Linked DNA regions of Coturnix japonica. The protein of the gene in region 2 binds, or shares a complex with, the protein of the main gene of each other region. Links are inferred from orthologs where the notes say so. Each region holds a gene or a part of one and is shown on either strand. Other genes may lie near its edges.

Region 1 (2,631 bases), on a different chromosome or scaffold from region 2:
AACTGAGCGAGTGGACACTGTGAGGTGTGGTGTGTGGGGATGAGGTGCTTGCGGGGTTCCCTTGTACCAGGGCTTTGTGCTCTGCCTGCAGCCCCATGTCTGGGGGGAGCACCCACGTCTGCCACCCCCGCAGCTCCGTCTGGCAGCACCGTCCCTTGGGTGCACCGAGCAAACAGCGCTGGGCTGAGCACACAGAGCCTCAATTACCGGTGGGTCACGGCCTGTGCCCCCACCCCACTGCTGCACCGCGCTGCGTCAGCCCCCCACGTCAGTCACCCCACGTCAGTCACCCCACGTCAGTCACCCCACGTCAGTCACCCCACGTCACTGCTGATGCACGAGGATGGGGACTGGGTGTCTCTGTGCCCCACAGCCCCCAGCTCAGTGTGCAGCCCGAGTGCCGTACCCAAAGCCGTTGGGCCTTCAGCAGCAGAAGGGGACGGGGGGCAGTGACGGCTGCGGGGTGGGGATGGGGGCACAACCGGGGATGCTCAGCCTGGAACGGGGGGTGCTCGGGGAGGGTCTTACCATGGGCTGCAAGTATGGCAAGGTGGGGACGCAGCGGAGATGGAGACGGTTCCCCACACTCAGGTCCGCACTACGGCTTTTCTGCAGTGTTTTATTACAAAATCGGAGCGGAGCCGTCCCGGGGGGGGTCCGGCAGCCGCGCACCCGTCGGAGCGGTCCCGGCGCGGGGCTCAGCGTCCCACGGCGTCGAGGATGCGGCGGTTGTTGTCGGCGCGGGCGCGCTGGCTCTGGGCGCGGGCGAGCAGCAGGAGGTGCCGCAGGAGATGGAACGTGAGGTCGATGGAGAGCGGCGGCTCGTCCCTCCGCGCCCTCCACGGCTCTGCGGGCAGCGGCGGCCACAGCGCTTCGGTCCGCACTTCCGCCGCGGGGACTCCCGAGCCGGGGCCGTCGAGGCCGTCGGGGCGGGCGGGACGGGGGGCGGCGGGGAACGGGCGGCACAGCAGCAGCAGAACGGTGAGCAGCGCCCGCCGCATCTCGGCTCGTCCGCACCTGCGGGGCTGCGGGTCAGCGCGGGGTCCGCACCCGACGGGGCTTCCCCGAAGCCGAACGCTCCCCGTCCCGTCCCGTCCCGCACCGCCCGGCACTGCCCCGTCCCGCACCGCTCCGCACCGCCCGTACCGCTGCTCCGAGCTCTGGGCGCCGTGCGCTGCGCGGAGCTCCGTCCGTCCCCGCGGGGCTGAGCCGGAGCCGCGCTCGGGACTTTATATGGGGCCCGGAGCGGGGCTGACGTCAGCGGCGGGGACGCACAGGGCGGGGGCGGGGGGTGCGGGGCTACGGGGGACGGCGGATTCGGAGCGCACCGGGACCGGGAGCGGCCCCTCGGGACCCGCATCTCTCCGGTGCCCGTTCTCGTCCCGCACCCCGCACAGCTCTTACACCGCACCCCGATCCCGGTGCCGCTGTCCGTGGTGCTGAAGGGGCGGTGCGGGGCTCTGCGCCGTCGGGGCCGCGTTCCCCGTCGGAGCTGGGGTGCCGGAACCCCGCACCCACGCGACGTCACCCCCCGTCCTCCTCCTCCCCCCCGGTGCACCCCCCATGGCACCGCGCCGGTCCAGCACGCCGCGGCCAAGCGCTGCAGACGGCCCCGAGGAAGCGGCGGTGGCCAAAGGCGTGACTCATAGAGACGAGCGCGGTGCCATGCGGCTCGGGGATACGGCACCGCGGCACCGCGCCCGGCGACGATGGGAAACGACGGGCCGAGGGCTGAATCCCCGGCCCCAAAAGGCCCAGGGTGACGGGGGGGCGATAATTCACGCGTTACAGGGGCAGCGGAGCGGAGCTTTTATTGGGTGCTCCTGAAGGGCCCGACCCGAGTCCCAGTGGAGGTACTGGAGGGCACTGTCACACGTGGGGTGTGAGCCAGCAGTGAGGCTGGGGAAGGACGGAGCATCTCCTGTGCTGGGCAGGGCACAGAGAACAGACAGAGCGGTCCCACAGCCCCACGGGGTCATCGCTGCCATAGCATCCCCGTGATGGACAGCACGGCACTCCAGCCCCACACACAGTCCCCGACTGAGGCTCCAGAGCTGGTGGGTGGGGGCACCTGGAGCACAGCTGCCCCTCACAGCCGGTTTGCTTTCCAGGACAGGTAGCAGTTCCAGACAATGGCAACACACTGCACGACAGCCAGCCTGGGAACAGAGCGAAGGATGGCTCAGCAGACACAGCCATGGGCAGCGGGAGCTGTGGGGCCATGGGGTTGTGCTGCTACCTGTGGGCCAGAGGGATGAAGTAGAAGTTGGCGATCTGCACCGGCGGCCAAATCTGGGCAGAGGGGAGGAGCGATATGAGGGGCCGCAGGCAGCTCTGTGCCACGGGATCAGGGAATCCAACCCAGGATTCCATCCTCAGCACTTACACAGTAGTTGGTGAGCAGCGCGTCCATGTAGTCCTGGGGAAGGTAGAGGCCGTGAGCGCAGGGAGCAGCCCTGCAACCACCCCACCCCACACACAGCCTGGCCCAGTTGGGGGCAGAGGAACAGTGCAGGGACAGCTGTGACCCCGCACGCAGCAGGCAGGGACTGCAGTCTCCCCAAGCTGGGCACAGGGCAGGTCCCCCTTCCCCTGCATGGGAATGTGCCCATAAAGGGCAGCAGCGTGAGG
Region 2 (4,217 bases):
TCCTTCCTTCCTTCCTTCCTTCCTTCCTTCCTTCCTTCCTTCCTTCCTTCCTTCCTTCCTTCTTCCTTCCTTCCTTCCTTCCTTCCTTCCCTTCCTTCCTTCCTTCCTTCCTCTTTTCTTCCTTCCTTCTCCTTCCTTCCTTCCTTCCTTACTTTTCCTTCCTTCCTTCCTTCCTTCTTCTTCCTTCCTTCCTTCCTCCTTCCTTCCTTCCTTCCTTCCTCACTCTTCTTTTCATTCTTTCTCTTTTTTTCTTTCTTTCTTTCCTTTCTTTCTTTCTTTATTACATTCATCTTTGCTTTCTTTTTCCTTTCTTTTTCTTTCTTTCTTGTGTTCTTTCTTTCTTTCTTTTTCTTTCTTTCTTTTTTTCTTTCTTTTCTTTCTTTCTTTCTTCTTTTCTCTTCTTTCTTTCTTTCTTTCTTTCTTTCTTTCTTTCTTTCTTTCTTTCTTTCTTTCTTTCTTTCTTTCTTTCTTTCTTTCCCCCACCTCTCAGGTCCACTAGTCCATAGAGTCTATCTGTCTCCTTGCTGTGATGTTCATACTGTATGAAGCTCAACCTCTGCATGGGTTCAGGTACTTCAGCCTCCTTGTAGGTGTGTTCTGGAGAGGGGCTGAGAAGCTGTTTGCTTTATGTCTTTTGTGATCAATTGACAAAAGGCAAAAACAATTCAACTCCCCAAAGAAAGATGCCTGGGCAATTCTCACCCCAAGTTAAGCCTTGCTGTAAGTTCATGCAAACCTTGGGAATTTGTTGTGCAAAAGGGACTCTTTCCTCTTTTCTTCTTTGCTACCTTTATGAGGTTGGATATTAGGGAGAAGTTTTTCACCCAGAGGGTGGTGATGCACTGGAACAGGTGCCCAAGGAGGTGTGGATGGCCCATCCCTTGCAGCATTCAAGGCCAGGCTGGATGTGGCTCTGGGCAGCCTGGGCTGCTGGTTGGTGACCCTGCACATAGCAGGGGGTTGGAACTGGATGATCATCGTGGTGCTTTTCAATCGAGGCCATTCTATGGCTCTATGATTCTAAGATTGGAAATGTTCTGATCCAACTGCTGACCTAACAGCACCATGCCTGTGTTCAGGATCCTTCAGGTCATTACAAGACTCGGGGTGCCTCCCTTTGTCCGCACTACAGAGCCATACAGAGCCCCGCTCTATTGCTGGTAGCTTTGGGGTCGCGCTCCCCGGGGGCTTCGTCCTCCTCCATCCCCGCAGCGCCTCGGGCGGAGGGCGGGCTCGGCTCCCCCTCCAGGCTCCCTCCCTCCCTCCCTCCCTGCGGGGCTTTGCCCTGGGACGCGCCGGCGGCACCGGGTCCGACAGCGGGGCGGCGGTGAGGGGCAGCATCGGGGGGGGGTTGGTGGGAGGGAGGGGGGTTAGAGATGCCAGCAGAGGGGCAGAGCTGCTGAGAGGGCAGCGCCAGCCCCCCGCAGCCCCCCGCAGCCCCTCCGGCCCCATGGCTGGACGGGCGCCGCAGCGCAGCCTCCCGGCGGCGGCCACAGCCGCGCTCCTTCTCCTGCCCGTAAGTGCACCGGCTGGGGAGGGAGGAGTGGGGAAGAGAGGGGTGGGAGGGTGAGCGGGAGGCTCCCCACGCCCCGCCAGGAGCCCACTGGGTCCGGGAGGGAGCACGGAGTGCGTCCCAGCCGTGCGGCTCCTTCCCGTCCCCTCGGCGCTGCGGGACGGTCCCGCACAGACCCCGCACAGACCCCGGCCTCAGCTCCACGATATCCCCGTGGCTGCTGATCCGTGGGTCCCTTCAGAGCCCCCGTGCTGTGCCGTGACTCTCCTTGTATTCCCATTAGCAATGAAGGAGTGCCCTGCCGCAGCCCCGTGCCCTGCTTGCTCTCCTCTCAACACGTGGCTCCGTTTCCATCGCTTTCTCAAGCCCTTCCCATCTGCCCAAGCATTTGTAACAACTTTAGAGCATCAGGGAGATCTTTCCTTCCGATCCTTCTCCATCACCATCATGATGAGGCAGCAAATAGGGTCGGCCGGGCAGGCTGTGTGTGTGTATGAGGTGTGCAGGAGGTGCATTAATCCTCCTAATTCACGGTGGCAGCTCCCACAACAGTATAAAAGCTTTCTGGACTGCTCTCATCATCCTCACTGTGCTTTCCATCAGTCCACAGCAGCACTTCAGTTCCCACATAGAGAGGACTCCTTGCTATGAGCTTATCAGTAGCACCCAGGTGCCCGCTGCTGCCAGACTCATTCTTTGACAGTGAATAAAACCCACCATGTGTTTCCCCTGTAGATCTAATCTATGGACGTGGCCTTTCTTTTTTTCCCCCCTTCAGTTTCCTGCAGCTTTGCATTGGAATTGTTTGTGTGAATTTGGGTGGCTGGCTTCTTTAGTTGCCCTGCAAGAAAGGAGTCACATACAATGCCAAGAGGGGTTTGTTTGGAGATGAATGCTCACTTGGGGTATACTCTGAGTATATATATGATATATATATATGATATATGTGGGTGCCCTGTCCATGGTGTTCAAGGTCAGGTTGGATGGGGACCTGGGCTGATGAAGAAGGACAGGGTAGAGCAAGGACCATCAGATCCACACTTCTTGAGTTACACTCACATAGGTTGTTACCTCTGCTTGTACATTAAGATTGCCAGGACAGCCATTCAGTCTTCAGGCCGAATGCCCAAGCACGGCTCGTGCCCATACTACTCAACTCCTTCAGCCTCTAAAACAGTGCACAAACTGCATGTTGAGCTCTGTCCACAGAGCAGCCTCACTCCCAGGTCATTCCCGGCAACTGTTTGAGATACTGCTAGATTGCTTGGGGCAAAAATGTAGCCAGGAACCATTCTAAACATTTAACAGTGTAAATGATTAAGTGCTTAAAACAGACCTTTGCGCTGTTTGATTTATTGGCTCCCATGGAGCGTGCTTTACTTCCATTGCTCAGAGCTCTGAGCGCCCAAGGGAGGCATTTTCCTCTAAGCAAACTCTTCACTGCTTTGAGCTCAGCTTTCTTTTTGCTGGAGATGACTGCAGGATCCTGCTGGTAGAGATTCACAATGAAGGCACCGGGACAGTGGGCAATACCTGTGTATAAAGGAGCAGTGTCTCTGTGTTCCCTTTGATTTGTGTGTTGCTCATCATGCTGTTGAAAAAGACATTAAAATAACACATCGCTGTTAGAAAAATGTACATATATAGTTGTGGAGTTTGGAAAAATGGATCTGCTGGGGGAGGTGCTACTTTGCTTCACTGTAAACCTTATATCCAGTAAACGACACTTCAGTAATTCACATTTCCCTCTCCTTCCATGAAGGAGAGGGAAACATTTCTCCTTTCCTTTCCTTTCTGTGCTGTAAACAGCTTTCTTTTGTCCCGTACCACTTCTGAACTCAGGTGTCAGCTGTTCCCATGTGAAGTGCAGGCATGAATTCTCAGATGTGAAGCCGGAGCTCTGCGGTGGCCCCATGGCACCTCCTTGCCCCCTCTCCAGTTATGCAGTGCTATGTGCCAAGGCCTTGCAGAAGCATCCTCTTTGCCTCCTCATCTTTCTATTCCTAATAGCCAGCCTTGACAACTAAACGCTCGCTGCTGCTTGGCTTTATCAACCTGTTTCTTTGTATGGAATTACTTGTTTTTCCCTCACAGCTAATCCTTTTCTTTATATCTGAATAGCTTTGAAAATAGCTATATTTGGTTTGAGCTGGCAAGGGTTCGGCACAGAGCTTTATGTCTTTTACCTTTATTTCTTTCTCTGAAGAGTTTGGTAAGCTTTGCTATAGCCCTTATTACAAAGGAAGACAAGTAGGAACTAGTTATTTAACACTGAGAGTCAGCCTGCAAGTGCAGCTTCACATCAATGGCTGCTTGAATTTCATTGAGCACATCCCAGTGTAGGAGAATTGCACTCCTTGTTGCAGTGCAGTGGGCTGCAATGGTCTCTGGCTTACAGCATGTCCTGCTTTTGGAAGCACTGACCAGTTCCTGATGTAGGATCATTTAGATCAGCACTCGCAGGCCTGCTTGCCTGCAGCATCCCAACAAAGGCCATTTGGGAAGGGCTGTGTAGTGACAGCAGCATTGCTTGGCAGAGACAGGCTGTGACATCCTGTCCTGACCTCCTGTTCATGAGTAGCTCATAGCTGGGTAAGGCTGGGGACGTGCTGCCCATGCACACCTTGTTCTGACAAGGCTCATGCCAGCAGCTCTATTGTGGATCTAAATGGGTGGAGAACTTGGAAGCCGTGTTTCTTTGGGA
Region 3 (4,265 bases), on a different chromosome or scaffold from region 2:
AGAACTTAAGGAGCCACAGAAAAGCACGAGGATCCCACACCCTGCTGGAAAACAGAGGCAGGGCTGAGCAGATGGGCAGGAATGTCCCTGCTCGGGCAGGCAGCTCTGGTCAGAAGCCAGCAGCGGAGGATGGAGAGCAGCAGGAACGGCCTGGAAGGAGGTGACGTGCTGTGGGTGTGATGGGATGGCAGGCAGAGAAAGGCAAGGAAAGGAACATGAAGTCTACAGGCACAGTGTGATGTGTGTGGGGCAGGGAAATGAAGGCTGGGGTTAGGGACGTGCACATCATTGACCAAGAGGAGGGAAATCCCAGATCTTGTGCTTTGTGGGTGAGTCCCTCAGCACTGAGACCAGAAGGGAGGAGACCAGCAGCCTGTCGTCCCTTAGGAGCTGTGTTTTTGGTGCTTTACATTGATGGTCCAAGCAGGATCCATCAGAACAGGTGTAAGAACACACAGAGTGTGGATGGACGTTTTGTTCCTATTTACTTATTTCTTTATCTATCGAGGAAACTTCTGCAGCGTTTGGCCCTTAAAGCTTTGAGTTGTTTGTGCCCAAGGAAGGTGAGCAAAGCAGCACCCTGTGCTCAAAGCTCCCGGAGGGAACTGCAGCACCTGCCAACAGCCAGCCAGCCCTGCAGCCTGAGGGCACACAGAGCGCCATGGCCTACACGGGACAGAACCGGGCACCATGGCCTACACGGAACCGAACCGCCATGGCCTACACGGAACCAAACCGGGAACCATGGCCTACATGGAACCAAACTGCCATGGCCTACAGTGGGACTGAACCGGGCCGCCATGGCCTACATGGGACCGAACCAAACCGCCATGGCCTACACGGGACCGAACCGGGCCGTCATGGCCTACAGCGCACCGGGCCGAACCGCCATGGCCTACAACGGACCGAACCGGGCCGTCATGGCCTAGAGTGTGACAGAACCGAACCGCCATGGCCTACACGGGACCGAACCGGGCTGCTATGGCCTACACGGGACCGAACCGAACCGCCATGGCCTACAACGGGCCGGGCCGGGCCTGGCAGCCGGAAGCGCCGCCCCGTGTCCGCCCGGTGCTCCGCCGTCCCACAATGCCCCGCGGCGCCGCCCCGCCCTGGTCTCGCCCCGCCCCCTGCCGGGCCAACCAAACCTGCTCCCCGGTCAGCACGGAGCCCCGCCCACTCGCTGGTGAAGCCCCGCCCTCCATCTCGCCGCGCTCTCCCATTGGCCGCGGGAGCCGTCAGTCACCGCTTGTTTTCGGCGGCAGTGGGTTGGGTTGCGCCGCTGCTGCTGCTCGGCGGGGCCGTGCGGGGCGGGCGGGGAGCGGCGGGCGGCGCGGCCGGGCGGGGGCAGCGCGCTCAGGGACGGCGGCCGCGCTGCTGCTGCTGGGCCCGGCCGCGGGGTCGGGTCGGGGCCAGGCCGGGCCGGGCCGGGCGGACAACGGGGAGGGGAACGGAAGGGAAGGGATAAAGGAAGGGAAAGGAAGGGGCGGCGGGGCCGGGCCGGGCCGGGGGGTCCCGGCCGTGAGGAGCGAGCGGTGATCGGCGCCGGGAGGACGGCGGCGTCCTGGAGGCGTTGGGACCATGACTCTGGAGTCCATGATGGCGTGTTGCCTGAGCGACGAGGTGAAGGAGTCGAAACGCATCAACGCCGAGATCGAGAAACAGCTGCGGAGGGACAAGAGGGACGCGAGGAGGGAGCTGAAACTGCTGCTGCTGGGTGAGGGGGGAACCGAGCGGAACGGGGATAATGGGGGTAAATGGGCGTGAGAGGGGGAAATGGGGATGGATGGGGGATAAGGGATGGGGGATGGGATGGGAGGATACAGGGCGATAGGGAATGGGGGATAAGGAATAGGGGAGAGGGGTGAGGGATAGGGAGGGAATAGGGATAAGGGATGGGGGATGTGAAGAGAGGATGGGGGAATAAGGAATAGGGAATAGGGCAGAGGGGATGAGGAATAGAAGGTATGGAATGGGGGATGGATGGAGGTTAAGGGATAGGGGATGGGGATGGGAGGATACAGGGCGATAGGGAATGGGGGAGAGGGGTGAGGGATAGGGAATGAGGGAATAGGAAATAGAGGATGGGGATAAGGGATGGGGGATGTGAAGAGGGGATAGGGAATGGAGAATAAAGAATAGGGAATAGGGCAGAGGGGATGAGGAATAGAAGGTATGGAATGGGGGATGGATGGGGGTTAAGGGATAGAGGATGGGGATGGGAGAGAGATACAGGGTTGGGAATGGGAGATAGGGAATAAGGGAGAGGGGTAAGGGAGAGGGAGTGAGGGAATAGGAAATAGGGGATAGGGATAAGGGATGGGGGATACAATGTGGGGATAGGGAATGGGGAATAAAGAATAGGGAATAGGGCAGAGGGGATGAGGAATAGAATATAGGGAATGGAGGAATGGGGAGTAAGAGATAAGGAACAGGGGATGGGTGGTAGAGGATAAGGAATAGGGGACAGGGAATGGGGGTTAGGGGATAGGGAATGGTGTTCTGTGGATGTTCATATCCCATCTGGATGCCCGGCTGTGCAACCTATTGTGGAGTATCTGCTTTAGTAGGGGTTGGGATCAATGATCTCATGAGGTCTATTCCAACCCCTGTGATTCTGGGGATGGGGAATAGGGGATGGGATGGGGAATAGGGGATGGGATGGGGATTAGGGGATAGGATGGGGAATAGGGGATGGGATGGGGAATAGGGGATGGGATAGGGATAAGGAATGGAGGATGGCATAGAGATAGGGGATATGGGATGGGATAAGGATTGGGGGATAGGGCCACTGCTGCACATGTGTGAAAAATGGGCTGTGGGGATGTGTGGGGCCACGGGGGGCTGCCCTGGGGGGGGGGTGGGAGGTGCCCTGTGGTGCTGACAGTAAACCCACGGGGATACAGAGCGGTGTGAGAGCAGGAAATGGCGTGTGCTGGGGATGGAGCCGTGCAGCACGTTGTCTGCTCGGGTTTGGGCGAGGTCTGGAGGTGAGCGACTGCAGGAGCATCTGAGCAGCTCTCGGCCGTTCCTCCGGGGCAGGGAGCAGTGCTGGCATCCCGGGAGCCACGAAGGAAGCTCTGCTGGTGGTTCTATATGGGCACCGTTCCCACGTGTGTGTCTGTGTTGTGCTGCTGGAACGCTGCCGTGCTTCCAACGGGGGGTAGGAAACAGGAAAGTGAATCTGATGGTTGGAATCATTCACTCCGGGTCTGCATGGAGGCACAGGTGAAGGATGAGGTGCATGAGCAGGCACAGAGCTTTGCATTGGTTCGGTGAAGCCCCATCCTGGGGGTGCCAGCGGTGTCATTGCACGGCGGTTGCTGTTGGGTGGGTGTTGCTTTGGGTGCTAATGGGGGCTCTGGAGGCTCGGGGTCAGTTTCTGATGGTGGAGGACAGCACGGAGCTGTGACGCTTCCTTCACGCGGTCCCAAAGAAGCAGTTGTTTCAAAATAGGTTGGAGCTATAGGCTGATCTGGGTTAAGATGATCCCACTGGATCTAAAGATCGCACTTAGAAAAGAAATGGAAGATGCTCAAGAAACCTTTATATATATATATACACACACATATATCTGTATTTTTCCCTGAAGCATCGTTTGCAAACAAACCAAGCAACCAGAACCTCCCCAGATTGATAAGGGAATGTTGCTCCCCCAGTAACAACAGGCCTTAGAGCATGGTTGGGGGGTGAAGCCCTTCATGCTGTTTGCTTTCAGTGGGTGCAGCTCTGCACATCACCCACTTTATGCTGTTGCCTTCCATCTCCATTAAGGAGATCTGCTTGTGTGTGTTCCTGCTGTCTCGGGCTGAGGTGGAGCTCTTCCCTGCATTGATATCAGAGGGCTTTTCCCAGCTCCCATCAACCTGAGCAGGGTGTGGATGTGGAAGGAGTTTCCCATTGCTGAAGCAGTGGTGGCTTTGCTTCTCAATGGCAGCTGTTGGGTCAGGAGCAGTGAGGGGTAACGCTGCTGTCCGGCAGTTAACCCAGTAATGAGAGGCTCTAATTTGAAGATATTAGATGTTGCCCTTTGCTCATCATTGGCCTTTTTAACAGGGATGGCAACAGGGGGGCGAGAACGCTGCATACAAAATCCCCCTGCAATGGCTCATCATTGAGCACTGGTCTAACATCGGGGTTACTGGGGTTGGATTTACATGTGCCCATTGGGGGGTGCTGGTGCTGGGGGGGAGCTGTGCTGCTCCCACGTGTTGGCAGGATTGCACTGAGTTCAGCCCCTCGCTTTGTGCTTTGCCATCCCAAAG

The links.
Region 1: the proteins of CRHR2 (region 2) and UCN are in contact, whole or in part, in a cryo-EM structure (PDB 7TS0), measured with the Homo sapiens proteins. The link is inferred for Coturnix japonica from reciprocal best matches to the Homo sapiens genes CRHR2 and UCN. Residues at the interface, in NP_001874.2 of Homo sapiens: Phe68, Asn69, Gly70, Val71, Tyr73, Ile101, Leu102, Asp103, Asp104, Arg107, Asp110, Tyr113, Leu117, Asn120, Trp166, Leu169, Gln170, Val172, Asp173, His174, His177, Glu178, Thr188, Phe191, Asn192, Phe199, Phe256, Gly257, Lys258, Asp265; in NP_003344.1 of Homo sapiens: Asn84, Pro85, Ser86, Leu87, Ser88, Ile89, Asp90, Leu91, Thr92, Phe93, His94, Leu95, Leu96, Arg97, Thr98, Leu99, Leu100, Leu102, Arg104, Thr105, Ser107, Gln108, Arg111, Ala112, Asn115, Phe119.
Region 3: the proteins of CRHR2 (region 2) and GNA11 are in contact, whole or in part, in a cryo-EM structure (PDB 7TRY), measured with the Homo sapiens proteins. The link is inferred for Coturnix japonica from reciprocal best matches to the Homo sapiens genes CRHR2 and GNA11. Residues at the interface, in NP_001874.2 of Homo sapiens: Arg148, Tyr208, Leu209, Ala212, Ile213, Thr216, Glu220, Lys293, Lys307, Ala311, Phe358, Tyr359, Phe362, Asn363; in NP_002058.2 of Homo sapiens: Arg37, Ile348, Leu349, Asn352, Leu353, Glu355, Tyr356, Asn357, Leu358.

The regions. Positions count from the first base shown.
Region 1 is NC_029518.1:95,414,809-95,417,439, reverse strand, and holds UCN (urocortin), read right to left. Parts: upstream 1,487-2,631; 5' UTR 1,147-1,486; intron 1,018-1,146; 5' UTR 1,002-1,017; coding exon 699-1,001; 3' UTR 510-698; downstream 1-509. Other genes in the region: protein Mpv17, read right to left, coding at 1,779-2,159, 2,387-2,419. UniProt on the Homo sapiens protein: Acts in vitro to stimulate the secretion of adrenocorticotropic hormone (ACTH). Binds with high affinity to CRF receptor types 1, 2-alpha, and 2-beta. Plays a role in the establishment of normal hearing thresholds.
Region 2 is NC_029517.1:3,701,708-3,705,924, forward strand, and holds the start of CRHR2 (corticotropin-releasing factor receptor 2), read left to right. Parts: upstream 1-1,417; 5' UTR 1,418-1,450; coding exon 1,451-1,516; intron 1,517-4,217. UniProt on the Homo sapiens protein: G-protein coupled receptor for CRH (corticotropin-releasing factor), UCN (urocortin), UCN2 and UCN3. Has high affinity for UCN.
Region 3 is NC_029543.1:653,110-657,374, forward strand, and holds the start of GNA11 (guanine nucleotide-binding protein subunit alpha-11), read left to right. Parts: upstream 1-1,456; 5' UTR 1,457-1,581; coding exon 1,582-1,717; intron 1,718-4,265. UniProt on the Homo sapiens protein: Guanine nucleotide-binding proteins (G proteins) function as transducers downstream of G protein-coupled receptors (GPCRs) in numerous signaling cascades.